2 linked regions of the Arabidopsis thaliana genome follow. The protein of the gene in region 1 interacts with the protein of each later gene in a pairwise test. Each region holds a gene or a part of one and is shown on either strand. Other genes may lie near its edges.

Region 1 (7,649 bases):
GAGAACGTGTTCGGGTCTGGGAAGGGATCCGCTTCGAGGTGTACATGAGTGAGGAGAGGGTGATAAAAGGTATTTTCAGAAAAGACGAAGGAGACAAGTGGAAACTTGAGTGCGAGTGTGAGATGGAAGAGGAAGGAGCGGCGGAAGTTGTTGTTGCGGCGGAGGGACACGTGGCAACAGCGACGATGGCGAGGAAACATAGAAGAAGGAGAAAGCAAAAGATTGGGTTTGAGTGTTTGGAGGAGATACCGGAGGAGAGAGAGGAAGGGAGGGATTCTGACGGCGGCGTGTGTTTTTGCACGTGTAGCGGCGAATCTGACGACGGAGAGGGAGAGTGGGAAGAGGTGGAATGGACGGCTGAGATGGAGTCTGAGACAGAAGGAATGGGATGGGCCGTAGATTTGGGGATTTGGGTTATGTGTTTGGGTGTGGGCTATTTAGTGTCTAAAGCCTCTACCAAAACCTTGACAAGTGGGAGAAGAAGAAGGACAAGAAGAACCTTCTTCTAATTCCTTGTGTAATCAATCAATCAGTGTAATTGTACAATAACGTTGGAACATAAATGTAAAAAAACCATGATTTTGATTACAATAGTCGAGAGTTCATTTTTCTTCGAACATAGAGCAATGAACTTTCTAGTTTCAAATTTTCAATTGAATCCTCTCAACTTGAAAAAATAAGGTAAAACCAGAAGATAATGTTTAAGAATGTGATGAAAACACAAAAGTACATCAATCAATTTGCATTTACAAATTACAATACACAAAGAACCCAAAAGAAGAGCTTTCTCCTTTATCTCACTAGTAAATTATGATACACCAAACAAAATAAAACAAAAAATGATCAAAACGTGTGATAATAAATATATAAGCAAATATATGTGGGGTTGAGACCCCCCAAAGGAACTTTCTTCTCCTTTTCTTTTATTTCTGTATTCGTTTCTGTTGTCTTCAACTAGTAGTTTACATCAGAAGCAGACATCGGTCGTATCTTGTTTTAGTCGTCATTGTCATCGTCTGGAACCTACACTGAACCCAACTAAAGAAATTGATATGCTCTATGCCTCACTGTCTCTAAGCTCTTGTCTGGTTATTACTGTTATAACCAAAAGAGACTTCACTCTTTCTCCTACAGGTTCTGTGCAGTTCAGTGTTTCCAGTGTCGCTTTCCCTCTGGTTACACTTAGTGTTCGCGACCCGTGAATGCTTTCAATTTCTGTTGCAGCTGTACACACAAACATAAACGAAAGATTTGCTTGATGACACGAAACACAACAAGCAGATTATTGCGTTTTAACGAGTTGAAAATGTGTTAACTTACTTGGCTGTATTTTGATTTCTCTATATCGAGTTCCTCCGTTAAGTCGTCCAGCCTGAAGATTTTGGCAGTTAAAGCTTGCAGGAAGATCCACTTAGAAAGACTAACTACATTATTCTTTAGAAACAAAAGCTTTGCTTGAAGAAGAGGACTAACCTAGCACGGAGGTCGGAGATACTGCTAAGAAGTAACCTCTCCCTCTCTGAAGCCACAGGTTCAACCTGTTATCCATAGTAATAGTTACATAGCTGTGAGCAATATCTTTATGAAAGTTTTCAGAACATATATGAAAAATCAACTTACGTTTCCATTACTGTCTGAGCGAGGCAAAGGTGGTAACTTCCCAGATTGAGAACCTATAAGAAAGATGAAGGCACCGTTACTGAATAGTCTTCAATCAATAATAAAGTCACAGCAGATTGAAGTATAATTGTCTATACTACCTTCTGTTGCCTCCACGGGTTGTAAGCTATTTAGTAAATTCATAATAAGATCCTGCAGCGAAATCATTCAATTGCAGAAGTTAAGATCCTGCTAATTAATTAATAAGAGATAAGTCTCATGTCTTAATGGATGTTCCTCACCTGTTGTATTGAGTTTTGCTGGAATAGATGTTGAAGTTGAGGCATGATGGGTGAGGAAGACGTAGGATGGCTACTATGCTCCTTGATCGTCTGAGGCTGAGCTGTTGGCTGCAAGATAGAAATAAGACTAAGATTAAGATACAGAAATGAATGACTTGAAGGACACTTTGTGATCGCAAACTGACCATTTTGGGCTCAAGTATCCAGTTACCCACACTTGCAGATTTTCTCAGGGGGGTCGCCTGGAATTATGTATAATTTATCAGGTAACTAACAAAGGTGAAGAACCAGTCTACAGTAATAAGCAGAGACAAGAAACCAACCTGTGGAGATCGACGAGGGACTATACTTAATGGAACATCCTAGAGTAGATTGTATTGTTAGTTACCGTCAAAGAAATAGGAAAATTAATAGCAGTAAATTAAATACCAACCTTCGCAAGATCTACATTTCCTGATGTTACTGAAAATCGTCCTTTCTGAACCAGATTAGCCTTTGACTTATCATCCAGAGAATCACGGAATCCTATTCGAAATGGACAAAACCTTTAACTCAACTGCAAGAGAAGCAATAAAACCACTAAGCTGGACGAAGACTGCCTATATCACTTGCTCACCTCCTGAGTATTTGATGGGAGCAGACAAACTGTTTGAAGAAGCACGGGTTGAAAGATTCAAAGGACCACTAAAGCTGGGTGCTCTTCGGACTGTTGGTGCCGTCTGCGGTTCACTCTCGGATCTAGCAGATAGAAAATTAACAAGTTGGATTGTTTGAAAGGTACTATATATAGGACAAGCAGATTTAAAGTGTAGTCTCAAACAGCAATTAGCAAATGTCAAACCTTTCAAAGATATGACTTTTCTCTGAAGCCGAGTGGCTTAATACAGTCCTGCTTGTAAGTGGTCCACTCTGACTTTGGCGTCTTAATGGCTTAACCTTGGCCTCGGGAATGTCATGCTCTGAATTTGGTGACATTCGTTCTAAAGAAGAAGTAGTTGTAACGAAAGTGAATTTCTCTTTGCAGGTTGGTTCTTCCACCTCAGTATTGGAAACCTTTTCTTTTCCGTTCATGTTTTCATATAGTTGCAGACTATCAAATACTTGCTCTCTGTCATTCACCTGCAGGGATTTTCTAAGATATGTTCAGACAACCAAACTTGCATACCAAGGAAGTGAAATTTTATAGATGCATTTTTCTGAACTTTATCTACATAGTACTCGCCTTATTAAACTGTGCACATAATATTTCTTCATCTTCCTTACTCTCTTCTAGATCATCATCATCAATTAACTAGTACACAAACAAACAATATAAAAACAGGGATTATGTGATGAAACCAATGAACAGAAATTTAAGGATAGTGCAATCACAGATAGCTTGCGAGAAGTAAATTACCAAAGATGCTTGTGTTTTCAAGTCTCTGACGTCAAAGTTCCAAGCGCTCACTCCTCTTTGGTATTCGCTCTGACATTAAAAATATTGTTTTATGCCCACTCTGCAATTCGACTCATTAAGTATTTAGGTAATGTTGTCAATATAAGGGGTGTGTCACCTGTGATATAGCTTCCTCGTCAGCAGTGGCCATTCTCTTTAATGCAAGCTGTTGAGCATCCTTATCCTGTCATATAACAACCCGATACAAAAGGTAAGAACATCATCACTTCCACAAAAAAGCTGAAACACAAAGAGCATGGCTAACCTGAAGAGATTTTACACGTGTCCAAAGAGGTGGTAAATCGGAAAATAAAATTTTCACAGTTTGCTCTGGAGGCTTCGTGTGTTTGAAACAGGAGTGCTTCAGCAGTTTTTCAGCAGTTGGCCTTTTTGTTTGATCTTTCACCAAACACATTGCAACCATTTCTTTAAAGGACTGGGCACAACTGAAAGTCCTCTAGTTAGTTTAGTAAAAATTTATTGCAAATGAAAAAACAGAAAATCTAGCAAAACTAGAACAGCATAAGAAATACACCTAGAAAGAACACGAGTACCTTAGAAAATTTCTTATCACGGTCATAATCAAGGCCAGGAGGTGCGTTTTGAATAGTCATTAGGAGCACCTGTAACCAGGGAAAAAAGAAAAGAATCAGAACCGTTTTAATAGATGCAAAATATACACATAAGCCGAAAAAGAGAAAGAAATACTAAGCACCTTCATGGGAGGATATTTTGAGAAAGGTGCATGACCATGGGCCAATTCAAGTGCTGTTATACCAAATGACCAGATATCAGCCCTGTTAAGAAATGAGAAGAACAACCAACCAATAAGCAATTATTGCATTTCTTTGTTCCACAGTACAAATATAACTGATATGCATCACCAAGCAAATATGTTTACATTCGGATTAGAGGCAGAGTAGTTTGACAAGTTGTCTTAACATACATACATACCAAAGTACGCTACTTTCTATCTTAGACAAGCAGAAAATATAAACGTTTTATCTAGTATTTGAGCTTAAAGTAAACTCACTTGGAATTGTATCCATTTCCCGGCTGCAAAACTTCCGGTGCCATCCTACAAAACAGAAGCAAAGAGGTTAAATGTAAACCATTGAATCTAAGAGTGATGGTTAAAATACAAAAAGAAAGAAGTTAAATAACTAACCAGCAAGGAGTACCAACAAATGTGTTTCTAGCACGTTGCCTATCACCGTTATCAAACAAGCAAGCAGAGACACCAAAATCGCCAAGCTTAATCTCACCATTGTCATCAAGAAGTATGTTTCCAGCCTAAGTTGCAAAGAAACAACAAATTTTGAATATATTACATACATGGATCCATGAAGCTGAATTTTTTTCACTTTCACTAACCTTAACATCCCGATGGATATGGCCTTGTCTATGAAGATAATCAAGAGCTTTAAGAGTTTCTTTTAATACACAACATATAGCAGACTCTTCAAATCCGTCTGAATACGCAGTCTTCATAAGATGCAAACACGAACCTTGAGCCATGAATGGCATAACAACCCAAAGACTATGGTCGACAGAGAATGAACAAAACGACTTTATAACGTTGGGATGGTCTATCAAACTCATAGTCTGAGATTCCCTCCTAATATCATCCTATCAACCAAAACAAAAACAAAAATACATTAAATTCATAAAACAAGAGATCTACGACAAAAGCTAAAGCCTCTCTAATTCATAAGCAATAATAAGATGGAGGAAAACGAACCAGATTGCTATTGCAGCGATCGAGATCCAAACACTTGATGGCGACGACTTCATTAGTAGGGAGATAGATCGCTCGATAGACAACAGCGCTAGCTCCATGGCCTATTTCTTCCATTAGCTTATAGTCTTTAGGATTCATAGAGAAACCTCTCTGCTGCTTACTACTACCACTACCACTACCACCACCACGACCACTACTACCTCCTCCTCCTCCCACCATCTTCTTCCGTCGCTTTAAAACCGCCCTGAATACCACCAAAAATCAGAAACCAGTAATTTCGCCTTCAGATACAACAAATCAAATGAATTTAACACAGAAGAAGAAGAAACAAAATCTGGAGCTGAGAGAGATAGAGACTAGTAGTTTACTCGAGAACAAGTCGAAACCCCATTGAAATTGGATACTAATTTTTTAATTTTTTGTATAGAAAAATAATAATTCAGCTGTTTTTCACTTTCTGCTTGCTATATTTTTCTGATCAGTTGACCTCCACGACAAAACGCGATTTGAGAGCGATCGAAAGACAAAAGAACTGTTTTGTGCTGACGTGGTATATCTGTAAGCTTCTAAGATTATTACACGTGGCTTTACTATAAATAATGAATGGCTAGGAATGGCCTTGACCCCATCTACCTCTTTGGTTAAGTTCACAAGTCACTAATCACTTCATCACTTGACAAAGATAAATATTCCTCATAACTTTTTATACAAAGTTAAAAGAAAGAATTATCCCAACTGATTCATTTTTTATAGCAAAATTTGAATTATGTATGGATTCATCATTCTAAATTCAATATTCCTTATGATCATGCTTTTAAAATCAGGTGTAACTTTTTTTGTGACAAGTTAAAGATCATAAAAATCTAGGATGAAACATTTACATTTTAGACCAAAATTAATAATATAAAAAAAAACAAATAAAGTCTTCAAAAGAAGATTTTGTTCATTTCTACATTTTTAATTTGCTCTTCAATCTAGTCAGAGCTAGGAAATGGTCTTAAGAGCTTCATCTTGAAACAGAAGTCCAAACCTATGGACGCAAACGCAAATATCAAGACGCTCTGAGACACCAAAACGGCGCCGTCTATCCCATGTGAAAACAAGCTTTCCCAGCTCAGCTCCAATGGCGGTCCTCTGCTCAACATACCAAGTCCTATATAACACATTAAAAAAAATCGAATCTATAATAAATCTGTTTTTAAAAAAAGACAGATCCAAATAATACAGGTCAGAGACTAATAATCAACTCATCAATTATTTAGAATAAATCAAATCGTTGATTAGTAATCTATTACTGGCAGATTATAATTTAAAAACAACCAAAGGGCGGGACAACGATGGGAACTTTGCCAGCTCATACTTCCACACAATATATAACATGACAAAGACAAAGAAAGTCTTTTTCTTTTACCATTTCTGTTAAGCTTATTCAATCACAAAACGCAATTGCTTTTGAACAATTCAAAGAAGTTAGATAGAAACAGTAATCAAATGTGTTGTTACCTTTAACAAACCCAAAAGCTGCAACGGCTCCGGATTTGAGATGATTATCATCCAAGTCTCTTCTGACTGCATACCTGAATGTGACTCCAAACAATGCACAGCTTGCAAACGCTATTCCCAGGGGCAGAACAAGCTGCTCCATGCTTGCGACTTGAGAAAGAGCAAATGGGAGTTCCGCAATGGTCCCAACCGCAGCTGCGATCACTGCCGCTTTTGCAGATTCTAACCTCTCCTTGTCTTTATCAATCGAATAACCTTTCTCCGAACTTCCAATTGTCGAGTTATCTGCTAATGACAAGGAGCGTTCTGCTTCCTCAACCATTGATCTTGCTGCGTCAATCTCCTGCTGGCATTCTGCAATCTTGAATCAGATATTGAATAAGATTAACATGCTCTGTCTACAAATACAAAACCAAACTAGAGACTTTGTTCCAAAACACGAGAAAACACAAAATGCAACCAAACTCATGATTTAGTTAGTAACCTTATCTAATGAAGTACCTTCACACAAACTAAGAGAAACCCCATTTCCAGGTTTCAAGCACAAAAGCAACACCATTGATATTGATTGATACTTTGAATTACCTATCCTATCCTAAGCATACAATGCACAACTTGAGCTTATCCTGGCATATAAATATATACTGCACAAATTCACTAGTCCATTGTAATATAAACCAATCATTCTCAATGCAACCTTAATCTATACTCTATAGTAGAACCTCCCAAAAACCTCAAATTCCAAAGAGCAAAAGAATCAAATGTTCAATCATTTTCATATCTAACACCATTTCGAGAACAAGCTCTCACCTCTGCGGCTCTTGATTCGAGCTGATTAATATAATCCTGTAGCAATTTCGCCTCAATTTCTTGTCTCTCTATATCTTCGAGCTCTCTCTTCGCAATCTCCACTCTCAACGAAGCTTTTTCCAGACCATCAAGCAAACCTTTGTTCTCTTCTCTGCTCAATAGCTCCTCCACTTGATTTCCCACAATACCGGACAGAGAATTCTTCAAATCTCCGCCGTCACTCGAAATTGCTACATTATCTTCCGACGAACTTCTAATT
Region 2 (4,100 bases), on another chromosome or scaffold:
ATGTGCAACGAGCTATGCACGCTAATCTTACCTCCATTCCTTATAAGTGGACATTGTGCAATATGGTTGTGAATAACAACTGGAAAGATTCCGAGTTTTCAATGTTGCCGATATACAAGGAACTCACTGCCGCTGGTTTGAGGATCTGGGTCTTTAGGTAAACCATGAAACTAGCTGCAAGTAAAGTACCTTTCGTGTCCTTTAACCACATTTTGTTGATGTAGTGGCGATACAGACGCAGTGGTTCCAGTGACTGGGACTCGACTTGCCCTCAGTAAACTCAATCTTCCGGTGAAAACTCCCTGGTACCCTTGGTACTCCGAAAAGCAGGTAATTTTCATCAAATTCGTGGTTCTATTCTTATTATGCAGAGCTAGTGATTTCTCATGGTGGTGGTGTCAGGTGGGAGGATGGACAGAGGTATATGAGGGGCTTACCTTTGCGACGATAAGAGGGGCGGGCCACGAAGTGCCGGTGTTGCAACCCGAGCGTGCTCTCACTCTTTTAAGATCGTTCTTGGCCGGCAAAGAGCTTCCAAGATCTTATTAGTCACACACATAAGATAGAAGGCTCCCTCCAAAACCCGAGTTAACTCGGTGTTTTCTTTTGAAATTTTTATGTTTCAAATCAACTTGATTTCATAAGACACTAAAAGCATTCTTGTATTCGAAGAAGATATATGTTGATACTAGAACAATTGTGTTGATACCTTGGGAATAAAATTGCAGAAAACCAAAAGTTTCAAATCTTTTATATATAATTCCATAAGAGTAGAGTACAAAGCTCTTTGCTTCTGCCTGACTGATATACAAACAAACAAAAAAAGCCGAACCTCTCATACCTGAAAGTTGAAATGAAACAACAAAAACAGCTTCTTACTTCATTCCTTCGCTGAGACCCGGTGGCATTCCTAAGCTCTGCGCAAGGTCACTCATTCTCTCTTTCATAGCCTGTGAAAAAATTCACAAAGTTCAATTAGAAGAAATGGATAGAAACAAATACTTTAGTTGCATTGTGATAAATGGTCTGCAAATTGCTATACCACCACACTCTTGGCGTGTGCGTCCTTGTATGCTTCTGTGACAAGTTGTGATAGTTTCTGCCAAAGGAAAACACACAACATCAACAAGAGAAACTGATGAATTAGCTTTGACTGTTCCATAACAAGGTACGTATGGTTACTCACTTCGGAACCTAGTTCCATTGCTGCCTCGGTAATATCAGTACGGATTGGTTGCTGGTTACCTGATAACGTAACCTGACACAAATTCATAAGGTTTAGGTCATCAGACTTTGTAACAGAAACAATAAAGACTAAACAAAGTTTTGAGATTCTAGAGTGGAGTTCTTGCCAAATCATCCAAAGACTAACAAATCAGAAAACACAGTTCTTACATCATCAAGTAAACGTTAGTTAATACTTCACTGATCTATTATGTGCATTGATCTATCTTAAGGCCAAAACAAGCTCTAAACTGACCTTGACAAGCTCGCCTGCACAATAACCATCAAATTCTGCGCTGCGAAATTGGAACAAAACCAACATGCAAAACTCATTACTCATAGAAGAAAACTTCCTCAAATTTTGTATGATAAATGTGCCGGACTTACGCAGCTAACTCTTTTTGAACACGTACAGCTTCCACTTGAACAACCATTTGAGCTTTCTTCACAGTCTCATACATATTCTGCATATTACCAAATATTCCTGCCTAGGAAAGATCACACACAAACTTCATTAGTTCCAAAATCATAAACTTTGAATCTTTACAACATGAAGCCTAACTTAAAATGTTCACCTATTGCAGAATCTGTTTGATATTTGAAAAAACCAATGTAATGTACCAACCTTTGATTGTCCATCTTCACTGTTATTATCTTTGTTTCCACCTCCAAATAATCCATTCACTCGAAGAGACCTGTAACCATTTTTAGACTTGTACTGCTTTGGCCATGTTCTTCTCTGCGAATTCAAGCTCGCATTTCCTGAAACTATTCAAACCAAAAAATTACTAAAGCCCATTTCAATCCCAAAAACACTTATAAATACAAAATTACGCTTCAATTCCTCCAATTATGGAATAGAAAAGTCTAATTACGAAAGATTAAGCAAATTCAGATGAAACCTAATGTACGACAGATACATAAAGACTCAAAATCCAGTGTCACGAAACCTTAAGCGAGAGATAGAAGTAGGGATTTAGGAGAGACTAACCATGAGAGAATGGAAAGAGCATAGATTTGGTGAAATTGGTGGTTGCAGCCATCGACGCCATTGTTGTACGAGTAGAGAGATATTAGAGAAGGGCTTTTTTTCTGAAATTCGAGAAGATAAAACCGGAAGCTAATTTTTTCCGGGCAACTTGTTCGTAGCTTCTGTGTTTGTTGAAGCTTTTAACCAATGATTTTGCGCCACGTCACTTTAACTCTTTTTTTGAGCTTAGATTGTTTTTGTACCATTCTTTTCTAGTGAAGAAGTCGCAACTTTAAAGTTTATACACTTTCAGTACGAAATTGAGTGATCAAACGTAAAATGTTCTTACATCAGATATTGATTCGATTTTCGAAAAATTCAATTTCTAGTATAGATGAAACTTTATCAGAGATTGTAACATGCTTCATTAAACCAAAAAAAAAAAAAAACATGCTACAATAGAACCATCTTTCGTGGTTCTATGTATGGGACATGGTCATATGTGTTGTGGTCTTGTGGAGCTGTATTGCGAGAAGAACTATTGATTGATTGTGGAGTTGTCTATATACCCTCTATGTATAGAGAGACTCACCCCAAACATTTGAAATACCTCTAGGCAAACCATTTTGGGCCTCTCCTGAAAGAAGACATTTATCATCGTATCATGTCCAAACAAACATACTCTGCTTGTACAGTTGTAAGTTTGTAAAACATATGATAAAAGCATAAGACAACACACACTCCAAAATGCAATCATGATCTATACACTTATTCTGGTCTCTCTAATGGCATTGGTTATTATTCTCATGATTCTCAATCTCACAACAAAAAAAACATCATGCAAATCTCCTACTGTCACATTGCATAAGAAAAAATAAAAATAAATTCATGAATTCAATCTCTGATTCCTCATGGTATATTGTCATGACCTAACAAAGGTTTTTTTGGTAAAAAAAGTTGATATAAAATAATCTAACAAAGTTACAAAGAATCTTCTATGACTTCTCCAAGCAATGAACCTTACCTTGTGTATCATCCATTGCTAGAGATACTGATTCTTTCTGTCCTGGATCAGCATTCAGAGATCTCACTGGGACTGTAATGAGTTTATTCTGCTGTTTCTCAAGCAAAGCCATGTGTTTTTTCCCAAGCGTATGATTCCTCATCGTCTGCTCAGAATTCGTCTGAATATTACAAGTTTTGCACCAAACCGTTTCCTTCTTTTTCTTCTCACCTTTTGTCTTCTTTCCCGTTGTTTCTTTCGCCGCAATTTCATCTACTTTTTGACCCTGCGGATTAGCATTTTCACATACTCTAATGGCTTCTGGTTGCGGTGCTGTAACGGAAGCAGGGGATAAGGAGGTTGAAGCAGCTTCAGGTGTCTCATTCTGTTGTGTAACAGCAGCCTTATGCTTTTTACCTAACTCATGATCCCTCATGACTATTTGACAATAGGTCCCAACTTTACAAATCTCACACCAAAACTTCTGGTTAGTTCTTAGCTTACCTTCTGCTTTCTTTCCACTGCCAAGTTTCCCTGAACAAGGAACCTTCGAAGAGACTATTTCTCCGGTTTCCAAAGACATCGCCTTTGCTTCTGATTCTTTTGCTTTCGGCCTTTTCACTTGAAGATCTTCGTTCAAACCAGTTTGAATATCCTCTGCTTTACGCTTTTCTCCTACAGGATCAGCTCTAGCCTGCAATAGTAATCAAAGAGAACACATATGGTCAGGATTTGTTATAAGCAAGTAAGGAAAGTACGTGGATAGAAAAGATGAGATATCACACTCGTAGTAAAACACTTACCAATACAATAAACTGCTCTTTGTTAGACTCCAAAACTGATGTTCCTGTAGCCTCAGGCATTTGCTGAAGTTTAGGCAATTGCATGGTACCAACACTGTCT

The links.
Region 2: the proteins of AT4G24100 (region 1) and AT2G24020 interact in a two-hybrid assay, tested with the Arabidopsis thaliana proteins (one large-scale study listed by BioGRID).

What each region holds. Positions count from the first base shown.
Region 1 is NC_003075.7:12,512,870-12,520,518, reverse strand, and holds AT4G24100 (Protein kinase superfamily protein), read right to left. Parts: upstream 5,538-7,649; 5' UTR 5,469-5,537; coding exon 5,446-5,468; exon of another isoform or gene 5,322-5,445; coding exon 5,078-5,321; intron 4,966-5,077; coding exon 4,711-4,965; intron 4,630-4,710; coding exon 4,505-4,629; intron 4,415-4,504; coding exon 4,370-4,414; intron 4,134-4,369; coding exon 4,052-4,133; intron 3,960-4,051; coding exon 3,891-3,959; intron 3,773-3,890; coding exon 3,602-3,772; intron 3,521-3,601; coding exon 3,455-3,520; intron 3,367-3,454; coding exon 3,298-3,366; intron 3,193-3,297; coding exon 3,124-3,192; intron 3,021-3,123; coding exon 2,743-3,020; intron 2,640-2,742; coding exon 2,518-2,639; intron 2,427-2,517; coding exon 2,335-2,426; intron 2,264-2,334; coding exon 2,225-2,263; intron 2,144-2,224; coding exon 2,087-2,143; intron 2,010-2,086; coding exon 1,902-2,009; intron 1,813-1,901; coding exon 1,761-1,812; intron 1,674-1,760; coding exon 1,621-1,673; intron 1,539-1,620; and 7 more. Other genes in the region: AT4G24110 (NADP-specific glutamate dehydrogenase), read left to right, coding at 1-509; AT4G24090 (homer protein), read right to left, coding at 6,052-6,230, 6,581-6,941, 7,391-7,649.
Region 2 is NC_003071.7:10,216,994-10,221,093, forward strand, and holds AT2G24020 (Putative BCR, YbaB family COG0718), read right to left. Parts: upstream 2,476-4,100; 5' UTR 2,277-2,475; coding exon 2,216-2,276; intron 1,993-2,215; coding exon 1,850-1,992; intron 1,713-1,849; coding exon 1,612-1,712; intron 1,521-1,611; coding exon 1,481-1,520; intron 1,259-1,480; coding exon 1,187-1,258; intron 1,100-1,186; coding exon 1,043-1,099; intron 951-1,042; coding exon 876-950; 3' UTR 708-875; downstream 1-707. Other genes in the region: scpl23 (serine carboxypeptidase-like 23), read left to right, coding at 1-157, 225-330, 403-549; AT2G24030 (zinc ion binding / nucleic acid binding protein), read right to left, coding at 3,190-3,891, 4,001-4,100. UniProt on the Arabidopsis thaliana protein: Participates with ALB4 in thylakoid protein targeting. May function with specific subset of thylakoidal proteins. Binds to DNA and alters its conformation. May be involved in regulation of gene expression, nucleoid organization and DNA protection.